3 linked regions of the Diceros bicornis minor genome follow. The protein of the gene in region 2 interacts with the protein of the main gene of each other region in a biochemical or structural test. Links are inferred from orthologs where the notes say so. Each region holds a gene or a part of one and is shown on either strand. Other genes may lie near its edges.

Evidence for each region.
Region 1: of the proteins of CDC34 (region 2) and CDKN1B, one has a biochemical effect on the other in vitro, tested with the Homo sapiens proteins (3 studies listed by BioGRID, with this or other methods). The link is inferred for Diceros bicornis minor from reciprocal best matches to the Homo sapiens genes CDC34 and CDKN1B.
Region 3: the proteins of CDC34 (region 2) and FBXO7 form a complex in vitro, tested with the Homo sapiens proteins (2 studies listed by BioGRID, with this or other methods). The link is inferred for Diceros bicornis minor from reciprocal best matches to the Homo sapiens genes CDC34 and FBXO7.

The regions. Positions count from the first base shown.
Region 1 is NC_080756.1:48,208,236-48,215,226, forward strand, and holds the start of CDKN1B (cyclin-dependent kinase inhibitor 1B), read right to left. Parts: upstream 3,008-6,991; 5' UTR 2,541-3,007; coding exon 2,066-2,540; intron 1,546-2,065; coding exon 1,424-1,545; 3' UTR 1,416-1,423; intron 1-1,415. UniProt on the Homo sapiens protein: Important regulator of cell cycle progression. Inhibits the kinase activity of CDK2 bound to cyclin A, but has little inhibitory activity on CDK2 bound to SPDYA. Involved in G1 arrest. Potent inhibitor of cyclin E- and cyclin A-CDK2 complexes.
Region 2 is NW_026691553.1:212,575-220,471, forward strand, and holds the start of CDC34 (ubiquitin-conjugating enzyme E2 R1), read left to right. Parts: upstream 1-4,893; 5' UTR 4,894-4,998; coding exon 4,999-5,175; intron 5,176-7,897. UniProt on the Homo sapiens protein: E2 ubiquitin-conjugating enzyme that accepts ubiquitin from an E1 ubiquitin-activating protein, and catalyzes its covalent attachment to other proteins by an E3 ubiquitin-protein ligase complex. In vitro catalyzes 'Lys-48'-linked polyubiquitination.
Region 3 is NC_080764.1:16,477,833-16,485,844, reverse strand, and holds the start of FBXO7 (F-box only protein 7), read left to right. Parts: upstream 1-5,005; 5' UTR 5,006-5,220; coding exon 5,221-5,342; intron 5,343-5,469; exon of another isoform or gene 5,470-5,501; coding exon of another isoform or gene 5,502-5,538; intron 5,539-5,574; exon of another isoform or gene 5,575-8,012. UniProt on the Homo sapiens protein: Substrate recognition component of a SCF (SKP1-CUL1-F-box protein) E3 ubiquitin-protein ligase complex which mediates the ubiquitination and subsequent proteasomal degradation of target proteins and plays a role in several biological processes such as cell cycle, cell proliferation, or maintenance of chromosome stability.

The DNA of each region.
Region 1 (6,991 bases), on a different chromosome or scaffold from region 2:
ATGCTTCTCTGTATGTCAAAATGGGGCCAGATCAAAATCCAGTAGGTCTGATTCACTGTGGCTCATCTGATGAACAGCCACAAGTCATAACAAAACAAGAGCTGCAAGTATTCAGGTTGCTTCAGGAAAATTTTTCATCCAACCTTCCCACTTCATCTACAGCTGTAATATAGAGGTTCTATAGTGCCATTTTGTATAAGTTCTGAAAAATATCAGATGTATGTGAAAAAGTCATATATATGACATTACGACTTAAAAACACAAAACAACAAAGTTAAAAACAAAACCAACAAATCCCTACGTTCTTTATTTTTAAATTTTTATAAATGAGGACTTAAGTTATTATCAACATCTATTAAAATCTCTTTATATGCTAGGCTATGAGTGTATTTTGGGGGAAAAAAGAGGTCACAGTCCTTGTTTATAAGAAGTTTACAAGCTATTAATATATGTAGTTTGATCATTAGGGATAGCCAATCCAAGTAAAATTGGGGGCTAAATTATTCAAATTAGCTACTCATGTTGATCAAATTTTAGTAGATGGAAAAATCTCCACTTCCCTTGTGCGGGGTAGACCTACCCTGCCAGCCCTGATAACTACTATCCATTTCCCCTACAAATATCCAAATCATCCTGTTACAGTGCGATTAGCATACACATGCTGACGTGTTCCTGGATTGCTTACTCTGGCAGAGTTAATTTAACTTCTGCTTTGCAACTTCAGTGTAATCAGAAATTCTGTAGGAACTTGAGTATTTTTGAGCTTTCCATTTTGCTTTTTTTAAATACACAGCTTCCTTCTCTGTCCCCAAAACTTGTCAGAAAACAGGGAAAGTAACAGTTTATGAAAATGATAAAAGAATGCGATATACCTCTCTATTCACATTTCTAACGGTTTGATTAACCAAATATGAGCCGTCTGGACCTAACTTTTCCCTCAAAATTTAAATTTATTTGCCATTTTTCCATGTATGGCTCAAAATCTGTTACTGACTCAACTTGAACTCTGGGAAATGAATTCTCATGAAGTGGGACTGAGGCATACCCCAGTTCTTGTTCAAATGGGGAAAGAACCTCTTGTTCCCAACATTTTTAGTGGACTCAGGGAATTGACCTTCCTACCCACCGGGCCTTGGTTATAAGTACTTGTCTGGGACACTTGCTCTAGTAATTGTGTGTGTCAAGGGAAAATGACCTCAGGACGTAGAAACTGTGAAGAATTACAGTAACCCCACAGTGAGTCTCAGCCTTCTCCATTCCTGCTTTTTTGACCTCAAAAAATATAAACAAAACAGAAACCCGCAAGCTCTAATCTGCCAGCAACCACTAAGATCAGGTATCTTGGGGTTTGAAAGCCTACGACTTCCTGCAGTCCAATTCGGGTGTTAGTTATTTGCTCCTAGTAATCAACCCACCGAGCAGTTTACGTTTGACGTCTTCTGAGGCCCGGCTTCTTGGGCGTCTGCTCCACTGAGCCCGCGTTCGGGGAACCGTCTGAAACATTTTCTTCTGTTCTGTTGGCTCTTTTGTTTTGAGGAGAGGAATCTAAGGGCAAGAAGGAATTTTAAAAAGAACACACACAATCTTTATTAGAAAAAAAACAATGGCTGACAGAAGTTGGCACAATAGTCAGGGCATGAAAAACCCACCACCTCCACCCACAATCCTGGATCCGTCGTTCCCAGGGGCCTTGCAGGGCACAAAACGAGGTTGTTTTCACATAACAGAAAGTGTCTTCTACGCCCCAAAGCTTTTTGCTCTCCATAGCGAAGGGGAGGCCGTTGATAAACATCCCATCGTTGTCACATACCTACCCCTGGCTAGCCAGGGGGGACTGCGATGGTTTCAGTTAGAGAAATGATCAGATAAGGCAATCTCAGGCTTCTGACTTAATCGTAAACAGACCAGCAGTCAGCTAGACAGCATTGAAAACCTAAGATTAGGAAAGTTCGCTCCCCAAAAGCTACATCAGAATACGCTGAAAAGAAAGCCGAGGTGAAGACCCTCGAGCAGGCAGAGCGGTGCCCCGGACAGACAGACATTTAGGCGTTTGCAGGGTCTTTACCGTCGGCGGCAGGCCGCTTCCTGATCCCAGTGCACGGCTCCGCTAAGCCCGTCGGGCTGTCGGACGCGTCAGTCTTTGGGTCTACCAAATGCGTGTCCTCTGAGTTTGCCTGAGACCCGATTAAAGGCACCGCCTGGCGGTTCGCGCTGACATCCTGGCTCTCCTGCGCCGGCACCTTGCAGGCGCCTTTGGGTGGCCGCGGGGGTCTGTAGTAGAACTCGGGCAAGCTACCCTTTTCCACCTCCTGCCACTCGTATTTGCCCTCCAGGGGCTTGTGATTCTGGAAATCAAAATTCCACTTGCGCTGGCTGGCCTCTTCCATGTCTCGGCAGTGCTTCTCCAAGTCCCGGGTCAACTCCTCGTGATTCACCGGGCCGAAGAGGTTTCTGCAGGCGGACGGCTTGGGGTACTCCGCCTGTCGGGCGTCCATCCGCTCCAGGCTCGGGCTCCCGTTAGACACTCGCACGTTTGACATCTTCCTCCCGGGTCTTGACGCCCGCCGCTCTCGGGAAACACAACCGAACAAAACAAGACGCCCCGACCCGGCCCGGACCCCTCTTACGAGCCCCGCGACTGCCCTCGGAGCGGAGAGCAACAAACACCCCCGAGAGAGCGCCCGAGCGTCAGGAGCGCGCCGGGCTGGGGGAGGGGGCGAGGGGGAGCCCCGGCCAGGCAGCCGCGAGCGGCCGCCGCTCAAGCGGACGGGCGAGCGGGAGGGCGGGGAGCGCAGCGGCGCGGAGGGGGCGGCAGAGCCAGTCCGGGTCCGGGCCGCTGCAAGCCCGCGGGTCCCGCGCCCCGAGCGCCTGTCCAAACCTTGCCGGCGTCCGAGTCGTGGAGCGGCGAGAACGTGGGGAGCAGGGAGGGGGAGAAAAACACCCCGAAAAGACGAGCCCCCTTTTTTTAGTTGCCCAATATGGCGGTTGAAGGGAGGCTGACGAAGAAGAAAATGATTGACACCGCAAGTCTATTTAAACAGAGGAGGAGATCCATTGGTTGCGGCGCCGGGAGCCGCGCCCCGACGAGGCTGGCGAGCGCGGCCTTAAGGTGGCCCCGGCGCGGTTCGGCCGCCTCCCCGCCTCCCCGCGCGCCGACTCCGAGAGCGCCGGCCGGAGATTGGCTGGTCGCGTGATTGCTGGAGGTGTACCGCTGCCAACAAACCTGCTCTGGCTGGCCTCGGCGAAATTAAAAATGAGACAAACAAACTAGCCAAACGGCCGGGAAGCTGGGGAGGGGCCTGGGCGGCGGGGCCGGTGGGGCCTTGGGTTCTAGTCCCGGCGCTGCGCTGCCTGGCGCGCGGCCGCTCGGAAGCCCCGACCTCCCGCTCCTCGCCCGGGAAATGAAGGGGCTGGACCAGATGATTCCGAAGCTTTTCCCCGCGCTCGCCGAGCTGGGAGTGCGGGCAGACGCTGGGAGCTCTGCCCCCAGCTGGGCTCTCAGCCGTGGCCCCAACCTCTGGCACTGGGGGGGAGGCAGGGAACATTCCCTGAGGGGCTGGGAGCCCCCTGCCTGGGTGACTTGGCTGGGGATGAGCAGTGGTGAGCTCCCCCTTAACCTAGAAGTCGCAGCTGTTCTAGGGGAGGCAGGGGGCTTAGGGAAGAAGCCTAGGCGAACGGCTTTCTATAAATTAGCCTGGAGTAGGCGCAGCATTTATAATGTATTCTAAACCCAAGCTCTCCCTCAATAAAAATAAGAAGGGAGTTCAAAATCAAAACCTGGTCTCCCAAGTCCCGTAGCCGTCTCAGACACATTGAGTTTTCAAAACGAGGTTACACCCCTGGCCCGGCTTCTTGCTTCCCGAGCACAGTGAAGGCCGTTGACATGGGCTGCGTGTGGGAACTCGTCTCCTCTTTGTATGTTTCAATTCTTTCCCGAGTTGTAGCAGTTTCCTCTACCTGAGTCCTGCCGCCAAATACAACAGCTCCTTCCTTCCTCTACCTTTCTCTCCCCCCAGACTCGCTGCTTTAACCCACCCAGAACAACATTCAGATGCAAGTGAGTGCTTTTCGAGGCCTCCAAGTCGTTGAAGGGTGAAAACAATCTGCAACTCCAGATTATGAAGTGATTTATAAAATCACCACACCATGTCCTCACTTCTGATATTATTATGTGGGCATTTCTCTGCTCCCCTTTGCAACTTGAAATTTACCTGTCCATATGATCTTGAGCACGGTGGTGGAAGTTAAAACGGGATGGTCAGGGCTATGATATCTGAGACAGAGCTCAAAGGGTCTTTAACTGCCTCCCCACCCCATCCCCAATACATACAATCTTGGTTTGGGCCCAGGTTAATACATTTTACTGGAAAGTAATCTCCTGCAGTTCTAATAGTACACAGCAACAATGTTTTCTTGTGCATCTGTGCTACACATGAGTTTGATTTTTAACTTGTTTTCTTCACCACATGTTTGTCCACTCTCTGTGCCTGCCTCACCTCATACTCTCCAGAAGGTAAGAGCTGGGAGGGGCCCTGGGAACCCTGTGGTTCAACCCTCTCTTTTTGCCACTGAGGAAATTGAGACTCAGAGAGGCTTCCTAGCCAGGGACACATATCCAGTTGGTAGCACCGCCAGGACTAGACACAGGTCTCCTAACTCTCAGGCTGGTTCATTTTCTGTTCCTTTCCTTCCTGATGGCCCCAATGGGTTCAGGTTTTTGTCTGGATTCGCCTGTGCTGTCCTCTGCAAGTCCTCCTCTCTTATAAATGATTCAAAATGGCTCCTTCTCCTGCCCTGGGCTGCCTGCACATGTCTCCTTGATATGGCCTGTGGTCACTGATGTTTAAAGGCAGCTGTCTCCAGCCTTTGGTATCACTATACACTAGTTAAACTAAAATGCAGATTCCAGGATGAGGTGATAGCCAGAGAGCAGTGAGGGAGGCAGTGCCCAAAACATGTTTCAAAGTCAGGACTTCCTACCTGACCAATAGAAAATATTTCACCTGCGATCAGAGTAAGATGTCTCATCTTAATTTTTCTACATTTAATGCCCCACTTAATTTACTGGATTGGAGAAGAGGGGGAGAGGAACAGGAAAATTAGTGTAGGCCTCAATACCATAATTTATACCCTATTCCTGAAATTTGATCATTGTTGAAATTTTTACATAAGTCCTAGACTACACAGGAATTCTATGTTATACATAAGCATAAATTCACAGTCATAAATACACAAACTACCATGTAAATGGAGATATTCTAGAGTATTACACCTTGTCACAAAAGTTTGATTTTATTCATGGAATTAATATCTTACATAAAAGTAGAAAATTAGTACTTCTATCCCCTACACACCCTGACTCTTTCTTCAACTGGTGTGTAGGAGCACCATTTTGTTGCTTTGTTAAATCTTGAAAAGTGGAGCACGCCACCTTAAGACGTCTGGCTGCCGGCTGAAAGGCTGTGCTTACATCGACCTTGCTATGATCTAAAGTGTTTTGTTTACAGTCAAGACACCGGAGATCTGTACAGCAAATAATGAGAAGGCAGGCGTCTGCTGTAGTAGCAACGAAGCGTGAAAAAAATACTATGGAGTCCCCGAGGGAAGAGGGAACGCGGAGATCAGAGCGCCATCCTCCTGCGGAAAGTAGGCGGCTGCAAAAGAGTAAGCCAGGGAGAAAAATTGCAGATAAACAGTGTGAAGGCGGAGCTTCGGTAGAAGACAGAACGTTCCACTTGCCCTGCTCTAAAATGGGCTCTGCTTCCCCAAGACTCAGAATCTAGTCCTGGGTGATGTTTTCGTTGTCGTTTTCACTCCTGGTAGTTTCCTGCTGAGAGCTGAGAAGTGTCACATAAGACACCCAAGATTTCTGTGTTCTTCACAAGCTGGGGAGATAGGCAAAGACCAAAATAATTTAAAAGAAAACACCTGTGTGGTAGACAAGTGTCCGAATGGAGTGGCTGGGCAAGCCCGCCCCTCAGATGCAGTCGGCGGGTGGGGGGTGCGGGGAGGGAGTTATACAGCCCCTAATGTTTCTGCACAGGTACACACTTCCTTGCCCAGTTGCCCCTCCCACCACAAGCACACAATTTTAATCCTTCCTTGAGGATGTTTATAACGAGGCAGCTTCTCTCAATTTCACTATTCTCCTAAACCGACATATTTTTAGAGTTTGGAAATTTCACAGTCATCTGTTTTTGACAGCTTTCACTCAGTTTAATAAATATTTATTGAGTACCCTCTATTAACTTGCTTATTCTTTGTTTCTTTCAACAAATATTTATTGAGTGTCTTCAATATCCCAGGCTCTGGGGATTCAGAAGTAAACAGATTTAAAACTGGGAAGAAGCTTACATTCTCGTGGGGGGAGGGGAGACAGAAAATAAACACAGTAATACATGAGTAAAAGATACACTATGTAAGGAGGTGATACATGCTGTGGAGAAACAACAAACAGGAGAGAGGGAAAGAGACTGTTTCCAGGTCCCAATGTGAACAGAGAGGTCAGGGAGCGCCTCACTGAGAAAGCGACCTTGGAGAGCAGCCCTGAGGACTTGAGAAAGTGAGCCATGTGGATATCTGGGGAAAGAGTATCTCAATAAAGGGAACAGCAAATTCAAAAGCTCTGAAGTGAGATCTTGTCTGATGTACTCAAGGAACAGCAAGGAGCAAGGGGAGAGTGGTAGCAGGAACATCAGATCATACAAGACAATGTAGGCCACTGTACGGGTTTTATCACTGACTGAGTGACACTAGGAGGTGTTGCCCAGTGGCTTGATGTGATCTTACCATGTGTAAAGCATTCCCCAAGGCATTCTCAGTGGGGAGTGAAAGGACGACTAAGTCACAGTCCCTGCCTTTAGGGAATATAGACCCTAGATGGAGAGACAACCACATGCACAAAAAAACCACAGAAGTAGAAAGTAATCCATGGAAGAACATGGTACAATGATGGAGTACAAAGCAGGGAGAAAGAGAAAGCCTTCAAGGA
Region 2 (7,897 bases):
GTGGGCTAAATAAACGATTGATTTATTGATTTATGATAAAAGCCCGAGTTCTGGGCTCGTCTGTTACGCAGCAGTGGTAGCCGGAAAATTAACAAAGCTGCCCTTCAGTAAGTGTTCGCGGTTAGTACTAGAGTATGTCACCAGCCCACGCGCGGGAACGCGCCCGAAGCATCAGCATCTGTGGCCTCGGGCCGGGGACCGCACATCCAGGAAGCAGCAGGGGACAGATGTGGGTGAGGCCGGGTGGACCTTCTGCGTTAGTCCCGAACTGTCCCCGAGGCCAGGACAGGACTCACGGCCCGGGCACCCTCTGGTCAGCTCTGTGGTCCCCGGGCGACCCCTGCCTCCCGGTCATCAGAACCAGGCAGGGCACTGTGCAGTGGGTGTTGCTGGTGCCACCACATCCTCATCGCAGGTCGCGGCTGCCCCTCGAGGGAGGAGGAGCCACACAGCCCAGGAGGGTCCATGCCTCCTTCCGGGGCAGACGTCCCCGGTGAGTGACACCGGGGGCACCAGAGCCGGCCCCGTCGCCTCAGGTGGAGCTGTCGGGGGGCAGCTCACGCTCCAGCCCCCCATCAGGCTGAGGGGACCCCAGCCGGGACCACCTCCCTGCCTTGTCCAGCTCCCCTCACCGTCGCCGAGTCACCGCCACGCCCGGTCGCGGGTCCGGAAGCCCCCTGTTGTCATGATCCCCACGTGACCTCTGCCGGCGCAGCCCCGGGAAGCCGCCCCCTCCTCCTCGCCTGGCCTCGCAGCAGCGTGGACCATGGAACCTCCCGCTTCTGGGAACACCCACTTCCCCGTCCCCCACCGGCCCCATCTCGCGGTGGTCCCTCTGCTGCCCCCGAAGGCTCCTCCTCTTCCCAGCTCCCCAGGGAGGGCGTCCCCTGGCTCCGTCTGGGGCCTCTCCTGTCCTCACCTCGTGCATCCTCATCCCCTGGCCTCTCTCCAGGCCCTCGGCTTCAGTTACGGCCCCGGGGGCGCCAAGGCGTCTCACATTCATCTCTCAGGCCCGGCCCCACTCTGCTCCAGCCTGCGAGAGCCAATCGCCTGCTGGGCGTCTCCTCGGGCACATCTCAAGTGCATCCCAGGCCTGCCACGTCGGGGACAGAGCCTCTGGTCAGCCTCCCTGATCCCGGGGCTCCTCTGGGTGTCTGGTCTCTGAGGAAGCCCCCAGTCCGCCCAGACACCGAGGTGGAGATGGGGGGGCTGGGCTGAATGCCCCCCGACCCTCAGCTGGCGGTGCTCTGCATCCTGTCGGTTGCGCCTCAACTCCATCCTGCCTGCTCCTCCTCTGAACTGGTCCAGCCTGCATCCTCATCCACCTGGGCGACCCCACCAGCCAATAGGAGTGCTCCCGGCACCCTGGCCCCAGTGATTGGTTCAGGAACAGCATGTGACTCCCGGCTGGCCAATGAGACGCAGCCCTGGGATTTTTTTCTGGGGTGGCTGAGCTGGGAGGACCCGGGCCCGGATTCTGGAGCCATCTTGTCACCACGAGGCCTGCAAACAAAGCCAACACTCAGGAAAGCTGAGCCAAGAGACTTCCCAGCTACTTTTCTGGCCTCTGTCCCCTCACTCTGCCCCAGGCACGCTGGTCTCTAGCTGGTCCGGCTTGGCCCTGCCTCAGGGCCTTTGCACGTGCTGTTCCCTCTCCCTGTGACACTGTTCCTCCAGACCCACGTGGCTCACTTCCTCACTGCATTCTAGTTTCTGCTCAGATGCCACCTCCTGACCACCCACTCAAAATAACCCTCCTGTGCCACCCCCGTTGCTAACACCTACCATGCTGTATTTTTCTTCATAGTAATTATTGCTATCAGAAATTGCTGTTTATTCATCAGCTTGTTTACAGCCTCCCCGAGGACAGGGATTTCTGCTCCTTTTGTTCACTGCTGTGTCCTCAGTGCCTAGATTTGTGCTTGGAAGGCCATGAGTGAGTGAATGACTTAATGACTGAATCAATTTTCCAGAGGAGGAATCTGAAGCCCATAGAGATAAGTGTATTCAATTCCTATGGGTGTTGTCAAAAGTTACCACAAAGTTAGTGACTTAAAGAACACGAGTTTACTATCACAGTTCTGGGGGCAGAGTCCTAAAATCCAGGTGTGGGTAGGGCTGGTTCCCTCTGGACGTTCCAGGAGAGAATCTGTTTGTTGCCTTTTCCAGCTTCTGGAGGCGCCACATCCTGGGCTCAAGGTCCCTTCCTCCATCTCCGAAGTGCATCTCTGCCCCGTCGTCCCATCGCCTGCTCCGCCTCTGACCCTCCCGCCTCCCGTGGCATTACACAGGTCCACTTGGATAACCAGGGTACTCTCCCCATCTCGAGGTTCTTAATCTCATCTGCAAAGTTCCTTTAGCCACGTGAGGCAGCGTACCCACAGGCTCCAGGATTAGGACGTGGCGTCTGGGGGGGCCCTTATTCTCCACCACAATAAGTAACAGATGGCACAGCCAGGGAGAGGCAGAGCTGGCTTTGGAGCCGGTTCTGTAGCATCCAAAGCACACCGGCCCCGTAGCCTTTGTCTTCGACTCCACGTCCCTCTCCCCTCAAGGGGCCACATTCTCTCCTGTGCATCCCTTTTTACTTCACCCCCGCAGCCCCTCCGCCTCGTGAGATCATGTGTTTCTTCCCAACAGGCATAATTGCAGTAAAAACACTATCGTCTCTGTCTCTATAACATTCTCAGTATCTATGCCGAGAGCTTTTCAAATATTATTTCATGAAACCCATTTTACAGATAAACTGAGACTTGCTTTAGCATTTGAGGACCGTTTTCAAGGTCACAGCCGAACTCAGATTTGAATGCAGGCCTCTTCTGTGGCACATGGTGGAAGGCCCAACTCAAACTGGCTTCATAAGAAAAGAATTTATCAGCTTGCATCATTGGCACATTCAGTGGAGGTCAGGCATGGCTGGATCCAGGAGCACAAACAGGGTTATCAGCCTTTCTGGTCAGTCGAGTCAGCTTTCCTGAGTGTCAACTTTGTTCACAGGCCTTGTGGTGATGAGATGGCCCCATAACTCCAGGCCCAGGTCCAACCAGCTCAGCCACCCCAGCTCGGTGTTCCCAGAAAAAGTCCCAGGGATGGCTGAGTCATGCTGTTACTGAACCAACCGCTGCAGCCAGGGGGCCTGGGGAACTCTGATTGGATGACCCATCCCTGCAGCCAGGCTTGGGGGTCAGTCCAATTCCAACCCTACAGACTAAGAGTGAGGATCCCCCCCCAAGGGAAAACCGAGGTGCTGTGGCCAGAAAACAGGTAGGCAGAGACCCCAGATGTCCACCACCCCGGGGACATTTCCGAGCCTGAGGAGCAGGCTTTCCTGGAGGACGAGGCCCCACGTGGGACCAGCTGGAGAGGCCATAAACCCGGTTTACATCTCCAGTTCCACCCCACCCACGCAACAACCCCCCTGGGATGTGGGGTGCTGTAGGAAAGATCTCAGGAAACCTCTCTGGAAGAGTCATGATTAATCATTATTATTCATCGACGAGCTGCCACATGCCAACGCTGTGACACTGGCGCCATGGGTGAGATGAGGGTCAGAGACACCTGAACATCTGGCAAAGGGCACACAGCCCACCTTACAGAGGACGGACCACTTCAGGTCCCTGGGGTGCAGGGCAGAGGGCCAAGAGATGAGGCCCAGCTCCCCTTTATGGATCAGAAAGCCAGGGTCCCGGCCCTGGGCAGCCATTGGAAGCTGCTGCTCTGCCCAGGGCTGGCTCAGACTCCTCCGTCCCTCCCACCGCTGACATTGTTTTCCTTCCCCCACACGGGGTCGCCTGGCTGTCCCCAGCTAGACGAGGCCAGGGGCCAGGCGTTGGGGCACCTGGGGGAGGGAGTCAGCTCAGCCCAGCCCAGGTGTTGCAGCTGTTGGCTGCCCGGGACACCTGCCAGCACCAGGGCCACGCCCACCCTCCTGGGGAGCCGTCACCTGCAGATGGGAGGGATGGAGGCCAGGTGGCCACGCCCACCCTCCTGACCTAAAGTACTAGCGCGGTGGGGGGGGTGTCTGGGACCACCCTCAGCCAGGTCAGAGCTCAGGCGGATCCGGTGAAGCCCAGGGTCAGGGCTAGCTGGGGTCAAAGGTCAGCCTGAGATCAGGGCGCAGCCCGGGTCAGGCTCAGCCTGGGCGTTCGGCCGGGATGGGGGCTGAACGGACGCCGAACGGGGAGGAGGACTAATTTCCAGTTTCTCGGGGAAGCAGCGTCAATCTCCTGGGATTCCAGTTCGTCGAGGTGAATCAAGTCGAGGGGTAACTTTGGGGTTTCCCCGCTGACCCTCGGGTCCCGCCGAGCTCCGCCCCTCCGAGGGGAAACCGAGGTACCGCCCGTGCAGGACGCCGTCTGCGGGCCGGGCCTCCCCGCAGCGGCCCGGCTTCCTGTCTGCCCGCCCAGAGCGGCCGGCGGGGACCCACGGGGAAACTGAGGCTCGGGCAGCGGGGTCCGGCCGCCCCGGCCCTTCCCTCCGCCCCGCCCCGGCCGGCCCCGGCCTGCCCCGCCCCGCGTGGGGACGTCACAAAAAAGGCCCCCAAGGCCGGGCGGGCCGGGGGTCTCAGCCCAGCTCCGCCGCCTCCCCGCGCACAGGTCCGTAGTCGTCCGCCCGGGCAGCAGCGGCCTCCGGGGGTCGGAAGCGCAAGGCGCCTGCGCACTCGGCCCCTGCTCCTGCGGCCGCTCTCGCGTGCGCGGGGCGGGACTCCACTTCCCGGCGTGCCCCGCGAGTGGGCACGCAGGCGCGGTCGGGGCCTGGGTTGGCGGCGCGCAGGCGTGGTCGGGACCCGGCGGCGGGGACGCGCAGGCGCGGGCGGGCGCGGGGTCGCGCAGGCGCAGCGGGGCGGGGCGCGGGCCAAGGGAGCGCCGGGCGGCGGCGGCGCCAGAGCGGGTGGAGCGCTCCGGGGCCCCGGGCGGCGGCGGCGGAGAGGAGGAGGAAGGCGGCCCCGGCCCCGGCCCGTCCCGCGCCCCCGACGCGGCCCCGGGCCCGTCCGCCGCCATGGCCCGGCCGCTGGTGCCCAGCTCGCAGAAGGCGCTGCTGCTGGAGCTGAAGGGGCTGCAGGAGGAGCCGGTGGAGGGCTTCCGCGTGACGCTGGTGGACGAGGGCGACCTGTACAACTGGGAAGTGGCCATCTTCGGGCCGCCCAACACCTACTACGAGGGCGGCTACTTCAAGGTGCGCGGCCGCCGGACTCGGCCCCCCTCCTACCCAGGCCCCGGACCCTTCTCTCCCTTCGCCCGACCCTCCTCCCCCGGCCCCGGATCCTCCTCCTCCTGCCCCGGCCCCGGCCCCTCTTTCTCGTTCCCCTGCCCCGGCCCCCGTCTCCTGGTCCTCCTCCTGCCCCTGCGCCTCCTCGCCCGGCCCCCTTCCTCTTCTGCCCTGGATCCTCCTCCCCCGACCCAAAATCCTCCTCCTCCCCTGGCTCCGGACCCTTGTCCTCCTCCCCCTGCCCCCGACCCCCCTGCCCCGACCCCGGATCCTCCTCCTCCTGCCCGGGTCCCGGACCCTCCTTCCCCGGCCCCGGACCCTCTTCCTCCTCCCCCTTCCCCTGTCCCCCTCTCCTGCCCCCGTTCCTCCTCCCCCTGCCCCGGACCCTCCTCCCCCGACCCCGGATCCTCCTCCTCCCCCGGTCCCGGTCCCCCTCTCCTACCTCCGTTCCTCCACCCCCGGGCTCCCTCCTGCTCCTGTCCCTCCTGCCCCTGCCCCCGCCCCCCTCCTCTCCTGCCTTGGTCGCTCCTGTCCCTGCCCCCAACCCTCCTGCCCCGACCCTGGATCCTCCTCCTCCCCCGGCCCCAGCCCCTCTTTCTCCTCCCTCAGCCCCAGATCCTCCTCCCTTCCTCTGCCCTGGACCCCCTCTTCCCTCCTGTCGGGGCGACCCCTCCCTTTTCTCGGGACCGAACTGTCCTTTTTCTCTTGAGGTGACTGTCCCTCGGTCCCATCCCTCTTTCACCGGCCCCAGATTCCCTCCTCCCTTGGCCAGACCCCCCTACCTCAGCCAGACTCCCCTTTCCTCAGCTGCATCGCGTTCTCCCTCCCTCTTTTGGCTGGACCTCCTCCTTCCTCAGCTGGACCTTCCTCCTTTCTCTGCCAGATTCCCTCCTCCCCCGGCAGGGCCCTCCCCACCTCAGTCAGGCTGGGGGACCCCTTGGTGTCCCCTGACGTCCGGCCCCAGGAGTCCCCGAGAACCGGGTTCCCTTGAAGGCCGCTTCAGGCCCCCAGAGAGGAGGCCGGAGCCCCCTGTTTGTTGGATGCGGGGTTTTGCTTCCCTTCTCGCTGGGAGGCTGGGCCCGGTGCCCCGTCTCTCCGACCTGGCTAGCCTTGCAGGGAGGGAAAGGGAGCCGTGGCCCACCCGGCCGCCAACTGCCCCCCTGGCCTGCCTGGAGGACAAAGGGAGCTCCCCAGAGGCGGGAGCACTGTGGGGGCCGCAGCTTTGGGGAGGAAGGAGGGAGGGAGCGAGGCCAGTGTGGGGTGACTGCCTGGCCACTTGCTCGAGCTCCCACAAAGTGGCAGCAGGACGCGCTTGGAGAGCGGCCCCCCGGCTGAAAGCAGGGCCCAGGCCCTCTGCTTGATCACTGGGCTATGTAACGTGTCTCTTTTGGGGGGGTGGAGGCCGCCCCTCCATCCTCCGCCCTGTGCCTGCAGCCAGCGCAGAGTGCGCCCCCAGGCCCCAGCTCCTGCCAGCACCCCGGTCCTGGCTGCTGAAGCTGCGCTCCTCTCGCCCTAACGGGCCTTTCCTGGGTTCCACAGAGCAGGTGGCTCCTTGGGGCCCGAGTCTCACACTCTGGGTCCTCTCCACTGTCCTCTGCGGTGTCTTAATTCCTAGGGGTTCCCTGTTGTTGGGCAAGTGCTTCCCAGGCAGGCTGTACTTCTGTCTGGAGTGAGAAGGGACTCGGGCCCAGATCTGGGCAGCGTTCTTGGTCTAATGGTCTGAGCCCAGCCATGGCCTTGGAGCGACCCCGCTCATGTGGAAGCACTCTGCTCTTTGAGCCTGAGGGACAACGCGGGGGTCTTAATGTGCGCCAGGTGGGGAGTGAGCCCTCAGCGCAGGAACCCCCTGTCACGGCTGGCCAGGAGCCCCACACTGCCCTGCCAGGTCCTGCCAGGTCTTGCTTGGCTGGAGGCCTGGGTGGGGAGCAGAAACCACAGCCCGGCCTGCTGCAGGGCGGGGCGGGTGCTGCTGGGTAGATGTCTATGTTTGCACTTTGGGCTAATGGAGCAGCCTGGTCTGCTGGCGTGATCCCTGAGTCGAGGTTCCCTCGTGCTGGGTGGGATGAGGGGACGAGTGTGGACCGCCCTGGGCCAAATTCTGTGTCTGCCACCTGGCCTCCCCATGCAGGCAGCGGATTTGGTCACTGGTGTAACCAGTGCCCTCCTCAGCCTCTCTTGTGTGCTTCGGGACAGCTGGCTGTGAGGATGAGGGTTCAGAGCTGGGATAACGGGGTCACCCCCTGAGGCCAGGCCAGGTCTCCGAGCAAGGTTGCCTGTCTGGGAGGAGAGGACGTGGGTCTCTGGCTATTGCCCAGTAACTGGTTGCAAGGGGTTGTGGGTAGAACTGCCAGGTTAGCGATGGGAGTCATGCTGTTGCTCTAGAGAAGACTGGAGGCTTCATTTCGTCTGCCGTAGGGTCTGTCCTCAGAGAAGCCAGCGTGAGACTCAGCGTGGTTCTGCTGCCGACTGGGCCCTCCTGTCCACGTGCGGGTGTGTGGGGGTGGGGAAGACTCTCTTCGCAGGAGATGTGGAAATACAGGGAGTGGGAAGTGCCCATGGGCCTCCATGGGTCACTTCCGCCTTCCTCTCGGCCAGCCCGGCTGCACCCACTTCTCCTTTGCGAGTCATAGACGGGCCCCTGGGAAGTGCGGTGTGTGAGGGGGCTGCCGGGGAGACCTGGGTTCCAGAG
Region 3 (8,012 bases), on a different chromosome or scaffold from region 2:
GTTAGTCATGAAGCTAGAAAATGCTACACACTGTGTGATTCCAATTATATGACATTCTGGAAAAGGCAAAACTAAACAGATCTGTGATTGCCAGGGGTGAGGGGGTGGGGTGGAGGAGGTTGAAGCACAGATATTTTAGGTTGGTGAAACTATTCTGTACTATGCTATAACGGTGAAACAAGACATTAAGCATTTGTCAAAACCCGTAAAACTTTACAGCTCAAAGAGTAAACCTTAACGTATGTAAATTTTAAAAAATCACTTAGGAGATTGAGGGATCCAGGATGGAATGCAGAATGTGACAAAAGAATCTAAATACATTACAAACATATAAAACAACCTTGCTTTAGAGGATGGGGAAACAAGGTGCTGACCTATGTAACTTAGGAAATGAATGGAATTTGTTAAGACTAAAGGCAACAGAAACTATTGTTTAAACACTGTACTCTACTGGATAATGTTGTTTTACACAGGGGTATGGGTTAACAATTCTGAAACCACAATATATGTATACTGGAATTGAACAATTAGGCAAATGGATGGTGGATGGTGGGAGCCAGGTTTGTCACAGTTGGATTGGGAGGTTGCAGATAAGCAAGGGAGGAGGCAAGAATGATCTGTGTGGTAATGCATTAGAGTTGGAAACATCAAAATGGACTCATGCTTTGCTTAATACAGATACAGATGGTTATGTATATACACATAGATGTCTCCTCGCTCTGTCAGCTGAGAAGGCCTAGAAGCAACAATGCCCCAGCAGCCGTGAGCACACCTAGCGCCCAGATCTTGATTTCTAATACCATTCTCCAACAAAAGGAACTAGGGCTCCTTGGAAAAATGGCTGATTCTAGGGTTGAGGCAGGATATATACAAGATGATCCTGGAGCATCTTGTAGTGCCAGAAAGTGAGAAAGTGCTCAACAACAGAAAAAAAGAAAATGAATAAAAATCCATAACGATATCAAATGGATACAGGAGTCAACTGAAAGATCTCCCAATGGCCAAAGCTGGAAGAAGATGAGCAACAACAACAAAAAGTAGTAGTATTGGATTATAAACCAAAGTATAAAATAAGTGTCTATAAGTTCATACTGATATAAATGATTGAATAAATAGAAAATAGACAAATCTCCTGTGCAGAAGAAATTCAAATAATTTATGGAGATGCTGCACCTCTAAGGAGGGGGAGCATAACTCCTACTCTTTAAGTGTTGGCTACACACAGTGACTTTCTTCCAAAGGCTACAGAGTACGAAAAGGAGAAAAAAGGCGGAACTTAACAGTGGAGAAGCCAAGTGATGAGGTTAACACCAACAGCAAGAAGTCATACTGATAGTATGTACTGCTGATATGATGTGATGTGACGAGAATGGCGCATTACCTCTGTGGTATTCCTCCCACGAGCACATCGCTTCAGTCTAATCATGAGAAAATATCAGACAAATCCCAACTGAGGGACATTCTACAAAATCCCTGACCAGTCATCCTCAAAACTGTCTAGGTCATTAAAAAAAACCAAGAAAAGTCTAAGGAATTGTCACAACCAAGAGAAGCCTAGGGAGACATGCCGACTTAATGTAATATGGCATCCTGGATGGGATCCTGGAAAATAAAAAGGACATGAGGAAAAAACTGAGGAAATCTGAATAAAGTATGGGCTTTACTTAATAAAAATGTATCAATATTGGTTCATTAAGTGTGAGAAATTACATACTAATCTGAGATGTTAATAATAGGGAAAACAGGTATGTGGTAAACAGGAACTCTTTTCATAATAATTCTATAAATCTAAAACTGTTCTAAAATTAAAAGTTTATTAAAAAAAGCCTCAAGGGAGACAATGAACGGATACCCACAGAAAAGTGACATCATCCTTTTGTCGTACACTATGAAATGGCCCATTGAAAAAAAAAGGCAATTAAAATTTCCAAACTCTTTGAAAGTTGCAGTGCTTATTGCTTGCAGACATTAAGGTGACAGCCTGAAAAAAGGAAAAAAAAATTCTCAAGGAGGGAGATAGTTGAGACAACCGAGTATATAACATTCTCATGGACTTTTGAAGTTTTGGAGGATCATCCTCCAGAGTACCTTAAATCTTGGCAGTGTCTTGAGAATGCTCTAGTTGTCTTCCAGGACCCTCCTACCCTCCTGTGGTTGGATTACTTCTGCCATACCAGTGCTTACACCCTATTGGGCAAAGGGTTGCAACAAGGATCCCAGGTGAATTCGTTTTTTATTATTGTTGTAACAAATTACCACAAACTTAGTGGTTTAAAACAAAACAAAAGGTATTATCTCACTGAAGCTTTACAACATACTTGTCTGATATATTCTTGTTAGTATTTTCATTTTTATAGATAGTAACTTACCCAGGCTTACATAGTACTAAGAGGTGGACTGTGGTAGATGGTCTCCAAAGATGGCCACCATATTAGCCTTCCACTGTTTTCTCCACAAATGTTATTTCAGAGAGAAATAAACTCATATCTTGTTTAGGTCACTATTAGTTTAGGTCTCTGTTAGAACAGCTGAAGCTATATCCTAACTAATATGGTTCCAAATACAGCCATTTTCCAAGTTCTCTTAGTTTTACTTCTGTAACATTGTCCCTGCCCATCCTGTTGTCTCTATTCCCACTGTCATTCCACTAATTCCTTTTTCCTCTGTTACCAAAAAAGCCTCCTGAGCTGGTCTCTAATCCAGTGGTTCTCAAGGCAATTTTGCCTTCTAGGGGATATTTGGCAAAGGTTGAAGGCATCTTTGGTTCTCACAACCGAGAGGCGGGTTCTACTGGCATTTTGTGGCTAGAGACTAGAACTGCTGCTAAACATCCTACAAGGTACAGGATAGTCCTCCACTTCAAAGACTCATGAGGCCCCAAATGTCAATAGTGCTGAGGTTGAGAAACCCTTATCTAATTAATACATCCCCCCACACTCTGCCAGTGATATATTCACATTTCAGATCTGACCCACCTGCTTGTGGTATACACCTGTCAGGCTCACGGCTTTCTATCCTCTTTTGAACAGCATTCCTATATTTGGGGAAATTCCAATATTATAAGTCTCGCTTCCCCAAGGAAGGAGTTTGGACCCCAAATTCCAGTCTTCTTGGCAGCCAGGACTCAGGCATGGGTCTCCCTCAATCAGATGCATCCTTATGAGGCTTTGATTTAGAAGAGAGCAAGACGAGGAAATAGGCTCTTTTGGAAGCCTGGCATTTTGTCGGTGGAGGAGACCGCAAAAACGTGCGGCATTTGAAGGTGGAAGCCATTCCCCAGTGGTTCCTGGCAGCGGTGACAGCAGTTTCCTCCACTGTGGGGTGGGGTGTCAGCAGCAATCCCAGTCATGGTAGTTTCCTTATCAGGCCAGTTCTTCTGCGTGGTTCTGAGCTTCATTCCTGGAAGCTTAGCCTGGAGCCACTTCTCCAGTCCTCCCCAGAATACTCTGAGCTAGCCAGTATCCTTTTAATATGCTCCTTTTGTGCTTAGTCAGCCAGAGTCAGCCTCTAGCGCTCAGAACTAAGAACGCTGATAAAGATTCCTCTGCTTAAAACTCTCCAGTGGCTTCGCATACATTCTAGAATGTGTCCCAAATCCTTTGCTGAGCTCAAGGCTCTTGTTTATCTGAGATATACCCACTCTGTCCTTCACTCTGGCCACACTGAGCCACCCTGGTCCTGCCACCCTTCCTTGATCCCATATTGCTTGCCACTAAAGAACTCTATTGACACAGCAACTTTTCTCTATGTACCCTGATCCCCAGGACTGTTCTTATCTATATCATAAACAAGACACTTCTTACACTCTACTACAGGAGTTTACTCACTCAACTGTAAGCTCTGCATGGGAAGGAACATGTCTTTTCAGTCTTTGGGTTCTCAGCACCTAGGATAATATCTGGCACAAAGTAGGTGATTAGCACATTTCCTTACTGAATGAAAGCCAGGATGTGGGCAAGCACTGCCACCTACTGGAAGAAACTTTATTCAACTCTTTTATAAGGATTTGGACAATGGCTAGCATCCAAGGATGAAAGGTGATGACGCTCTCTCCCTCATCTAAGTCATCATCACCATTATTGTCAGACCCTCTGTGGTAGCCAGTCTCCTAGATGGTGCTCAATGACTCCTGTGTATTGGTATTCATGCCTCTGGGTTGATCCTCCCACACTGAAGGGTTGGTTTGTGATCAATAGAATATGACAGAAGTGATGGTGTGTGACTTCTGAGGCTAGATCATAAAAGACACTACGGATTCTGCCTTCCTCTCTCTGGGATTGCTTGCTCTGAGGGAAGCCAGATGTCACATCACGGGGACACTCAAGAGGTCCCTATGGGGAGGTCATGCAGTGAAAAACTGAGGCCTCCTGCCAACAGTCATGTGAGTGAGCCATCTTGGAAGCAGAATCGCCAGCAGGAGTCAAGACTTCAGATAACTGCAGCCTTGGCCTACATCTTGACTGTAGATGAGAGACCAAGACAGAACGACCCAGCCAAGCCATGCCGCAATTCCTGACCTATAGAACCTGTGGGACAATAAATGTTTGTTTTCAGCTGTTACGCTTTGGGGTGATTGTTATGCAGCAACAGATTACTGATATACTCTCCGACAGAGATCACTGACTACAAGCTGTTCTACCATTTTGCTACTGTCATAGGAGGAAACCACCAGAGCCTGGGCTCAACCTAAGGCCACGGAGGAAACGCGGTAAGAGCCAGGCACACCTGGGCCTTGCGGAGTGGCGAGCTGTACTGTCTCCAGCATCCCTCTCAGCGTTAACGCCCTCCAGGTACACCTGGAGGGAGCGGGCACAGCCACGGCGGCGGAACGACGGGGACACAGGCGAGCCGCGGCCCCTCGGCGCCTGCGCAGTGCGCCCCCGCGCTCCCAGGTGGCGCCGTTGCGCGCCGAGTCATCGATCGCAGTCCCCGAGCGGCCTGGCTCGGCGCAGCCGCCCGCCGCCCGCCAGCGGGGTGGGCTCCAGGGGGCGCCCTCAGGAGAGGGGCGGAGCGCTCCCGCGCCAGAGACCCGCTAGCAGGCCGGCCGCCGTAGTGTGGCCTTCTGCCGGTGACAGCTCAGCACCCCCACAGCTCCGGTAGTCGCCGCTTCGGGGTCGCCGCCGCCGCCTCTTGAGGCGGGAGCTGCCCGGCGGCGCCGTGGTCCCCGTCGCCGCCTCCAGGTCCAGGCCCCGGGGCCCTCCCGCTGCCGCCGCCGCCGCCATGAAGCTGCGGGTGCGGCTTCAGAAGCGGACCTGGCCGCTGGAGATGCCCGAAGCGGAGCCGACGCTGGGGCAGCTGCGCGCGCACCTGAGCCAGGCCCTGCTGCCCGCTTCGGGGTACAGGTGGGCGGCCGCGGCGGGGCCCCGGGGGAGGCGGGTGGCGCGGGCACTCCCCGGGCCGTCACGTGAGGCGGGCGGAGAGCGGGGCGTCGCGGGGCCGGGCCCGGGGACTGTGACGCGCAGGCCGGCGGGGAGCGGGCGCCGGGGGCGGCCCGCGGAGACATGGCCCGGCGGGCGGGGGGCTCCGTGCCCCTCCAGGGTGAGCCGTCCCTCCGCCTTTGCAGTCGAGGAACCCTGGGGTGGGCCAGGAGCACAGTTCTCGCGCCCTGTGCAACGTCCAGTTGGAGAGGACGCGCTTGGCTGGGTGAAACCTTGCCAGGCTCTCAGGGGTTTAAGTTAAGTTCACCCTCTCCAGCTGTCGGAGTATTTCAGTGGAAAAGTTTGGAAAGTGCTGGAAGGAGTTAGAAATCGGCCCTCCTTCCGAGGCCACCTGTAATTTGTACCGCTGTGAGGCTGCGATAATCCTAAAACTCGTGGGGTGTTGACTCACCCTTTGCGGAGTTTTAAGGTGTCGGCGGGTTTCAGATCTTTTAATTTTCCTGGGCGAGATGTTGCTTTTTTGCTGAAACTAAGATCAGTGTTGGCCTTAAGTGATGACCCTGGAGAGCTTGCAGTTTGGGGGCAATGACGTTGAGAAACAAAGCGTCAAATTCTGTTGTTCGTTTATGAGGCTGCAGATGAGGCTGCTTTGTTTCCACCGAGGGCATTTTCTGGGGACAATAATCTGGGAGTAGAGGACTGTTAATAATAACCTTGGGAGTAGAAGTTAGACCGTCCAAAAGTAAGGATGGTCCTCTTCAAATATTCAGCTATCGAATTTGAAATTTGTGCTGAAAAAAATGAAAAAAAAGTTCACTGGGGCTGTTTAGGTGAATTTTTCAATGGAAAACCTCTCTGTTAATTGGCTCTTTTTATAAACTTTATTTTTAGGGAATTCAGTAAAATGATGCCATATTATGAACTCACCCTTTCGTTTTTCAGGTTAAGGCACTATTACGTTAAAAGTAAGCCTGTTTTTCTCTAAATTAAAAAATAAAAACAGAAAATAATGTATTGACGTAACTCCTTTTAAACATTATATTAAGTGACCTGCCTATTGTTATTTCGTTGTGTGAAAGCTAAGTGTTTTGCATGCGGGCGTCCGTTACTCCACCACAAATTTTCAAAATTCTCTTTTTAAAGTATTTTCATATATATATGTGTATATATTTTATTATTATTATTTTTTAATTAGGCGAGGCAGTGTTGAAAGGATGTGAAACCCAATATGACTCTTTGTTTACCCAAGAGCTCAAGTTAGTTTCTCTTTCAGGTTTGTTTTTACGGTGGAGAATGGTTAACTGGAAGGAATGTAAGCTTCAGCTTGTGAAAGTAAATTCATTTCTCTGAAAATATGTTCATTTTAGAATAAATTGGCAGTTTTAAAATGTGTTTATATGACATTATTATTTTTCGAGTGTCTTTGCTGAGCAAGTGGATCTGGGATAGCCATAAAATATTGTTAAAAGTCTTGAAATTTCTAGGATACTTTTCCCGATGAACTTTTTTCACTATTTCAGAAAACAGAATCATTTTTTAACCCCTTTCCTGGAAAACCATATATTACTTTAGAAATAGCCCTTCCTTTTTTCTAAAGGGGGAGGGAAGGCCGACGTTTTTATTAAGCAGACAATTCTTTGTGTTTTCTATAAGTTAGATATTTGAACGAACATTGTACTGGATACCATTAAAAAGAACCTTTTGCTTTGACAGATGATCCATAAACACATAGTTCATTTGAGGTGTCTTTCTTTTTTTCTCCCGAAGTTGGGATGGTGTTTTTCTGGGCAGCTGGCAGATTTTCAACACTTATCAAAGCATTTGAAGACAGAAGCATAGCTACTTATTTTCTAATAAGCAGGAGTATTTTCTAAAACTTTAGTAATTTCTCTATCCAAAGACACTTTAGTTGGTAAGACAAAACGTATTTACATGTGAGAGAAAAACATAAATGAATTATTTCGAGCACTTTTGAAAATGCAGCATTGTAAGAGAGAATAAACAGAATATTATTTTCAAAGGACTCGTCCTTTGTTAACCTCTCAAAAAGTTAATGAAGTCAGCATTGCTGAGTATAAATGTCCTATAAAATGTTCTACAGTGGTTTGTTAATTAATCCTCACTGCTATGTGATGAAATGATGGTTATTTTTTCAAGCTCAGATGATCTGTGATGCAGAAGGGATGGGAGTTCATTGCTTCAGGCTAATTTGAGCTCTTAGCTTGTTTAGCAATGGGTTTTTGGATTTGTGCTGTCTTCCATAAAAAAGACATCATAACTGACCGTCAGTAAGAAGGGTGAACTTGAACCTGTCCGTAGGAGGGATGAGTTTGTCCTCAGTCGTCTACATATACTCATCTAACTCTTTGTGATTATGAATATTCATTGAGGACATGGGTCTAGTATTTTGGAACCAACGTAAGCTAACTGTCCTGTAAGGACATCGAATAGGTAGCCCTGATTTCAGTCTCATCTTGATCTTCCCAGCTAATGTTTGTTGGTTGCATTTATTCCACAAATACTTTTATTTGCCAAGTGCTGGAGATAGAGTTTTGAACTAGACAGACGAGATACCTGGTCTTATGAAACTTAAGTTCTAATGGTGAGCGTGGGGAAGAGAGAAGATAAACAAAT